Cricetulus griseus: one gene and its partner. The protein of the gene in region 2 binds, or shares a complex with, the protein of the main gene of each other region. Links are inferred from orthologs where the notes say so. Each region holds a gene or a part of one and is shown on either strand. Other genes may lie near its edges.

Region 1 (4,454 bases), on a different chromosome or scaffold from region 2:
AATAAATAAATAAAAATAAAGTGGGAAGCAAAGCTTATGTTGACCTCTGGTTTCTCTGTACCCACACTCAAGTGCACAAGCACACACATGAGTGTTGATTATAATGCTTTCTCCTTTTCATTATACTAAAGGGGTGACTACCACACTCGAACACTTGTTAAAAAAGAACTGGGCCATTGAGCTATATCCCTACCTTTTTTTATTATTTTATTTTGAGAAGCTCACAAAACTGTCTAGGTTAGCTTTAATTTAGTCTGTGGCCGCGGCCAGCCTAGGATTTGCGATGAGCCACCTCCTGCTCAACCTGCAGAAAAGGTCATCTCTTACAGACCTGTGTCCTGAGGCTCAGCTACCATTCATTCCTATCCACTCACTTAACCCAGGTTACCTTAGTTGTTACTTCTTTAAAAAGAGTGAAATGACACTCTTCATTTCTCTTCCAGAGTTCATAAACTTCCAGACTAATTTGTGCAGCACCCAGCTAAATTGCTTATATTCCTCCGAGCTTTCCTCTCTTAAGTCTTTTTTTCCCACCAAAACCTTTTCAATAGTTGGCCTTAGTGGTTCACGCCTTTAATCCCAGCACTCCAGAGGTAGAGGCAGGCTTATCTCCTTGAGTTCAAAGGCAATCTGGTCTGCATAGCAAGTTCAGGGCCAGCCAGAACTATATGATGAGGTGAGACCCTGTTTCAAGAACAAAGAACAAGAAACAAACTCTTCAAAACAATGCTCTGATGGGGCTGTTCTCATATTAGAGGTGGTGGTGTGACAATATTCTAATGATCTAAGTGTACGTAAGTTCTTGTGCTCTTTCCGGAATCACATCACAGACTTACACCTATGAGTAATCTATAAAGTCACGAAGGCGCCCCAGGCGTGCACTTCAATGAACCACTTACTTTAATCCTATAAACAGTGTTAATTTAGGCACAGGGTCTAAGCATGCCTGGGAATCATCCATTTGTGAACTGCATCTGGTAGGGCAATTTGGACAGCTCGCCCTGGGCTCAAATACTTGTCAAATCCAAAGAAAGGCCAATTGAAAAATGAAAAAGCTGCTCTGGCCCGGCTCTTTCACTGCGCTCTGGGAGTGGGGACTGCGGCTTTCTCTCGGTTACTTCCCCAGCTACTTTCCCCAGCACAAAGGACCACGCAAACACCGATGACGGTCTGGGGGCGTTGGCGACAGAATTCCAGTGTGCACTCGGAAGCCCGGAGAAAGCTTCAGAGGGTTTCTAAGCCCTGAGCTCCCCGTTATCCGCTGGGGTCGAGAGGGATGCTCTCTGTTGAGGCTGACTCCAGATTCCGTCGGACAGCCAGCAGGCGGAGGCGAAGCTGATCGGAGCACCCGGGGGGCGCAGGCAGGGAGGGAAGGGGGACCAAGGGTAGAGCCAGCCGGCAAGAGGCCGGGCGAGGCCCAAGGCGAGGACCAGCCCGCTGAGGGCCCGCCCCCTCAGCCAAGGCCCCGCCCCTTCCCCGCCCCTTCCCGGGCTGTGCTCCTGCGCGCCCCGCCCGCGGGCGGAAGCTAGAACGAGGCTGAACGCCTGACGTCAAGGCGACACCGCCAAACCTCGCCCAGAGTCAGGCGTGGAAAGCAGCCTGAGCGGCGGCGGCGGCGGCGGCGGCGCGGCGGGCGGGCGGCGGCGGCAAAGACCGCCGTGGCGCCGGGAGCAGCGAGCCGAAGGGAACGCGAGCGACGGCGACGGCGGGACCCGTGACAGCGCGAGAGGTTGGCGGAGTGCGTGCGTGGCTGCGAGGCTGGAGGCGGGGGAGGGGGCCGGGCGAGTGAGCGAGCGAGCGAGCGCCGGCTGGAGGGGAGCGGTGGGGTGCGGCGCCGGGCCGGGCGGGGCAGCCGTAGAGAGCTGGGGGGAGCTCCCGCGGTGGCGATGGTGGCCCGGGCGCGCGGCAGGTGGCCGCGGGGGACGCCCGGCGTCCCCTCGGTTCCCCGGACGAGCTGCCTCGGAGCGGCCGGGGAGGAAGCTCAGCCGCGGCGGGGAGCAGCGCGCTTTGCGGAAGGGGTCAAATGTCTGAAATATGGCGGAGGAAGTGAGCGCCCGAGGAACCCCCACCCGCCGCCCGCGGCCGCTCCGCAGCCTTCCCCCGCCGCGCCCCGCTCCCCGCTCTCCCCGCCGCGGGGTGGGTGGAAGTTAGAGCGGAAACCAGAAAGTTGTCCTTTGCGGACACCCGGGGTTCTTCCCAGCTCCGGCCGGGCGGAGTAGCTTGAGGGGGGGGTGGACCACTCCCCGGCGCCCCGCGGGCTCGAGCCTGACAGCGAAAAAGTTTGCCCGGATCCGGGCTGGCTTGCTTCATTTGTTGCGGGAAGTGGCAGGAGGAAGGCAACGGAGCGAGCCCCACCTAGTCTGGCAGCCGCCACCGTGCAGCGAGAGAGAGAGGAAAAAAAATGTTAAAGGGGCCTTTCCCTTCGTCAGCAAGAGGAAATCTCCTTTTTCTCTTGCAGAGAGAAAAATCCAGGAAGTTTGCCCTCTTCTCCTTATTTCGCCATCTCGATATGTCTGATTCTGAAACTGACTTACCAGCGCCATGAATTCTCTTTGAAACTGCTCCCAGGGAACTGGGCCCTCCGGATTTTCCTTGGGGTGGAGGGGGAAGATGCCTTTCAGGAGAAAGATCTTCCCTTCAGAGTTTGAGCGGATGGGCTTGCTTTCCTTTCGCTTGCCCCCTCCCACCCCTCCAGTACTTTAGAAAGATATTTTGGCCCCGCGACTCCTGACTGGTGTGAATACAAGCACTTCTTTATTACAGTAATAGGAAAAATCACATTTTTACTGAGTTGAAAGTTGACATTACAGTGAAGGCTGAACTTTTAATATTTTAAAATTAATTGAGCCTCGTTGAATGTTTGCTTTGCTGGCAGTGGGTATTAACATATACCGAGTGTTTCTAACTTGTAAATTCTTTTTTTTTTTTTTTTCAGTTTTCTTTTGTATAATTAGAACGTTGTTGAGACTTGCCTAAAAGGAACTTATCTTAACAAGAAGTAAATTTATTTGAACGGAGAAATTCTTTTTATTTAAAGCTAACTTGGATTCTATGTATTAAGTCCTAATAGAGTCATGGGACTTTTAAAGGGCCCGAAAGGCTATTTAAATCATCTGGTCCCACCCTGTCATTTTATGGAGGAGAAAAGTGAGGCCTAGAATAAATAAGATAACCAGTTACCTGAGTCCTCTGACTTGTAAGGCAGTGATCTATCCCGAAGAGACAATCCACAGGAAGAAATGTGACATTTCAATGGTGAATTACTTCTTGCAAAAGATATCAGTCCTATTATTCTCTCCAAGACAGAGTGTCTTAGTTAGCTAAACAATGTGGAATAATCATTTCGGTAGTGTCATCCCCGGATTTTGGCTAGAGGAAGTTAATACTCTGGGGAGGAAATCATTCTAAAGACACAGAATCCCTAATGACTGACTTGTCTGAGCTTATCCATACTTTTAATCTCTGTGGTACATTATAGGCCCTTGTACTTTCTTGTTGACATTCACAGTAGTTTAATAACCTTATCTGTGGAAGCCACAAAGTAAATGGCTGAAGGACATATAGATAGCTATTTGGGTTTTAATGTGCCTGGTATCAGAACAACAGCTGAAGGGCCCAATGCTAAGCCGGCTAATTTTTTAGTGTGTGGTCTGGAGCACGGAAATGATGGCCAAGTTCTTTCCCCTTTTTCTGCCTAACTTATCTCTCTTCCTTTCAGTGGCTTGTATCACTTCCTGACTTGTGTTACAGTTGTGTATTTTTATCTAGTCTACTAAATTGTATGGTCCAAGGCCAAGATCTATTTCTTTTGTATGCCTCTGATGGCTAGTATGTTGCTGATCCACAGATCCTTGATGGAAGTTAAGTGCAGTTAAATGAAAACAGGAGGGTTGGAATTCTGTTGTATTCTTAGTTACTAGTACTTCACCTGGGCACTAGTGATATTTGGGACTTAAGTGTAGAGATGAATGGAAAATTCAGAGAAACTAAAGAAAACTGTAACTTTTTAAAAAGAATTACACATTTTCTTTGGGCTCACTCACTTTACAAATTGATCATTTTATCATTGGTTATTTTATAATGATTCCAGTATTTTCTTCGAACTATACAGAGAAAGTGAGTCTTCCCACCAGAGATCCTGTAGAGGCTATCAAGTTGAAATACAAAATCAAAATCTTTTTTTTTTTTTTTTTTTTTTTTAAGTGATGCTGGGCATGGTATTTTGCAACTGTAATCCCAGCAGTTAAGAGATCGAGGCAGGAAGATTTCGGGCTAGCCTGAACTAATGAAATGCTGTCTCTAAGTAAATACATAAATAACTTGAACTATGTTTATGAAGATCTTTTAAAGACTGAATGCCTATGTACAAATTGATAGCATGTAACTGACTACATACTGTTTTAAAGTGTAAAGCCTCTGATTGGGATAGACAGCCCATGTTCTGCTTTCTTTGC
Region 2 (3,763 bases):
TTGTTTTAAAGACATGCAGCATTGACTGGCTTCCAGCCTAGAGCCGTCCTCCTGCCTCTGTGTCCCCCAAGGGCAGGAAATACCCCCTATCCAGCTTCAGACCTTTTAACTTTTTATTTTGAGATAGTGTCTCACTAAGTTGCCCAGGCACTGGTCTTAAATCTCTCTGTAACTTGGGCAGGCCTTGAACTTCTAATCCTCGACTCAGCCTCTTGTGTCGATGGAATGACAGGTCTGTGTCACCCAGCAAGGCTCTCCCATTGTAACTGCACAGTCACAAGTAACCTGTTCACTTCATTTCCCTTCTGTTCAAATGGGGTTTCTTCTTACCCCCAAGAAAATTTCTGACCCCTCTGACTCTCATGCAGTGAGATTTTCCCCCTCATTCTGGATAATTCCTTCTGGACACTTCTACAGAGTTGGTCCCACTGACGGACCTTCCTGGTTTGTCGCTGTTGTTACTACTCCAAGCGCCAGGTCCAAAGGGCTGACCAATGCAGTTCCCACAGTGACCTCTCCTGGGTTCTCATCCAATGGCACCTCCCCCACATCCCAGAGTGCTTTCCTCCATGATTCCACAGCTCCAAAGGGGAGACTGAGGCAGAAAGACCTCAAGTTCCAGGCCAGTCTGGGCAACTTAGTGAAACCTTTTCTCAAAATTAAATCTAAAACGAGGGCTGGGGGTGTGGCTCAGTAGTGCAGTGCTTGTCTACAATCCTTCAGTGAGGATCTGAGGACAAGGCTCAGCACTAGGGCACCTGCCCAGAATCCGTCAGTGAGAGACCCAGGAGAGGTCCCAGCAATAGCGCCAGCCTGGATGCCATAGGATCATCCCCAGTACCACTAAAATCTAATATCACAGGTAGTTACTTCCTGAAGCACAGTGATGGAACCCACGGTTTCCCAGAACCCTATGAGCGCCATTAGCTCAGCCCATCGCAAAGCATCGTGGAAAAAGTAGTTTCTTCTTGCTCAAGGGTTGAACAGAGCGCTAGCTGGTTGAAGGAGGAGAGACACTATGGAAAACTTATGGGGGAAGGCAGGAATGACCTGTGGAGCAGGTGCGGGTGGCTGTTGATGGGAAAGAGAGGGGCAGCAGAGAGACTTGTGGGACAAGGGGTCCTGCTCACCCAAACGGCCTCTTTGATGAGCCGGGCCAGACGGCCCAGCAGGCGTGGCAGATGGCCCAGCTCCAGCTCCCTCGCCGAATGCTGTACACACAGCGCAAGCAGAGTGGCAGGCCCGAGCGGGGGCAGGTCTCCTGCGCCCGAAGCTGCAGCGCGCACGATTTCGCCCAGCAGCGCCTCTTCCTCTCGTGGTCTGAACCTCAGCACCGGCTCGCGGCCGTCCAGGTAAGCGGCCAGTGCCTCTCCGCGCTCCTGCAGGCCACGGCCACACAGGCGACAGGAAAAGGCCCAGCCTGGCCCGGGTGGCGCGGCCCCGGGGCGCGAAGGCAGCCAAGGTGGCCGAGCAGGCCCAGAGCCCCCGGCGCGGGGGTCCTTGTACATAAACAAGAAATGCTCTCCCAGGCCCAGCAGGTCTCCAGGGTGCAGCTCCGCCTCGCGCAGTAGAAGGCAGCCATTGTGCGTTACCGGGGCACCCCGGGAAGGGCGCACCATGGCCGGGGGCTCCGGGCCGGCGCGCACTGTGCAGTGTCGCGGCAGTATGTCTGGGGCGTTGAGAAAGGTGTCCACATATGGGGCTGGGGACCCACCGCGGGACGATGAGGGCCCACCTCGGCCGAACACGTGTTGCTCTCGGGTCATCACATACACCACGAAGTCCTAAAGGAAAGTAGGTGTTGCTATGGCGATGCGTGTGTCCAAACAGCATCCTTACCACACTAGACTCTTGCTCCAACCACACTTCCTCTAAGTGATGAAAACCTCAAGGGAGGTTTCCTGGGTTCTCAAAGGACTCTTTGAGCATCCCTTGCACATGAATAACCTCTTCCAAGACACTCTGTGGCTTCATCTTTTGGGGGGTAAAAATTTAGGGGGAGTGGGCAGCAGCGCCACAGGGTTCCCATAGATGTCAAAGGATAACTTGTGAATTAGTGTTCTCCTTCCACCTTGTGGGTTCCGGGGATATAACTCTGGTCTTTAAGTCCACATGGGAGTTAAAAAAGCAGTGGGTGCTTTTACCTGTAGAGCTCTCTCTAGCCCTGGCTCTGCCCTTTAAAAAAGACCCTTCACGGGCTGGAGAGACAGCTTAATACTGGCAGCTCTTCAAAGATTCTCCCTGTCCATTAATAGAAGCTCTCTCCAGAGACTGCCACAGAGATGGTGGGCTCTTCTAGAAATGTCTATATATGCTTCAAAGAGGCACCCTTCTTATTTCATCCTGAATGGAAAGATACATTGCAGACGACTCTGGTCTAAAAGTGGTCTCACCTCCATCTTTAGAAATGGATGCACCATTTGACCCCCTTTATAAAATAAACCTACTGCTCATGTTCTAGTGGCACTCAAATATGTAATACACAGAAACATGGCCTGGATGGCACAGGTATGTCAGGCCAACTACTCAGGAGGCTGGAGCAGGAGGGTCATAAATTCAAAACCAGCTTGGGCAACCATTGAAGCTCCTGTCTCTAAGTTAAAATGGTTCAGCAGTACACTGCCTGCCTGGAACCCACTAGTGAAGGCTTCGGGGCTTTGCTCAGAGCACTTGCCAGCAGGGGCAAGGGCCTGTGTTCAATCCTCAATACTGCAAAAATAAAAATGCATACAGGTGGGGCTGAAGAGATGGCTCAGAGGTTAAGAGCACCAACTGCTCTTCCAGAGGTCCTGAGTTCAATTCCCAGCAACCACATGGTGGCTCATAACCATCTGTAATGAGATCTGGTCTGCAGGGATACATGCAGACAGAATACTGTATACATAATAAATAAGTAAATATTTTTTAAAAATGCACACAGGTTTCAGTGTCTCCTGCTTCCATCAACAAGGGGTCAGATGGTCCCCATGTGAACCTTTATAAATGAATTAGCTGATTTCTCCCATCAAGACAGCTGCATTTCCAGAACAAGGATCTAGGTACCAAAGATTTCTCTGACGTAGGACACAGACTTTCCTTGAAGAAACAGATGTTTGTGAGGGATGTCCTTTTGACAATAGACTGGCCTTTGACCAAGAACATGTTTTCTTTTCCCTCTGAATGAAAGGAAGCATTGCTATCCCTTCAAATGGGACCTTGGTATCCCATTTGACCTCCACCTCAGCTCCTAACAAGCTATTTCCTACTGGGAACTGCCACTATAATGGAAAAGGCCTCAACCCAAGGCATTCTTGGTAGTGTGGTTTGTTGACCAACCATGTCTGGTGTGGCTCTATGACTAGGGGAGATAGGGCTAACCTGAGCATCCTGGTAGCCCTGGAGCAGAAGGAAGTAGGGACGGTTGCTGGGTGCCTGAATGAGGCACTGAGTCAGTTGGTCGAAGTCTCCAGGGTCTGTTGGTACCATCTGGGTGTCAGCTGCCCCAGGAGCCATGCTAAGTGCCTGCTGCCTGCGTTCTTGCTGCCGGCGCCTCCGCCCCTGCAGACTCAGCTCAGACACACTGCGACGCAGGGACAAATTTTCAGATCGCTCTTTGCCCCCGGACCCAGTGGGGGTCCCTGATCCTGATCCTGGACCTGGGCTGGCCAGAGCCGCCCCACCAGATGCAGCCCGAGACCGATTCTTCTGTGTTCGCCAAGATGGGGCATTTGTGCCTACAGAAAAACGAAAATCACAGAGGCTATTCCCTGGCTCTCGACCTCCA

What was found. The genes of interacting proteins can lie anywhere in the genome.
Region 1: the proteins of Rasip1 (region 2) and Rap1b are in contact, whole or in part, in a crystal structure (PDB 5KHO), measured with the Homo sapiens proteins. The link is inferred for Cricetulus griseus from reciprocal best matches to the Homo sapiens genes RASIP1 and RAP1B. Residues at the interface, in NP_060275.2 of Homo sapiens: Val147, Lys149, Ala156, Ser157, Gly158, Ala159, Asn160, Tyr161, Lys162, Ser163, Val164, Leu165, Glu181, Arg182; in NP_001010942.1 of Homo sapiens: Val24, Gln25, Asp33, Pro34, Thr35, Ile36, Glu37, Asp38, Ser39, Tyr40, Arg41, Glu54, Leu56, Phe64.

The regions. Positions count from the first base shown.
Region 1 is NW_023276806.1:138,528,950-138,533,403, forward strand, and holds the start of Rap1b (ras-related protein Rap-1b), read left to right. Parts: upstream 1-1,586; 5' UTR 1,587-1,729; exon of another isoform or gene 1,730-1,738; intron 1,739-4,454. UniProt on the Homo sapiens protein: GTP-binding protein that possesses intrinsic GTPase activity. Contributes to the polarizing activity of KRIT1 and CDH5 in the establishment and maintenance of correct endothelial cell polarity and vascular lumen.
Region 2 is NC_048599.1:154,532,597-154,536,359, reverse strand, and holds part of Rasip1 (ras-interacting protein 1), read right to left. Parts: intron 3,714-3,763; coding exon 3,358-3,713; intron 1,785-3,357; coding exon 1,131-1,784; intron 1-1,130. UniProt on the Homo sapiens protein: Required for the proper formation of vascular structures that develop via both vasculogenesis and angiogenesis.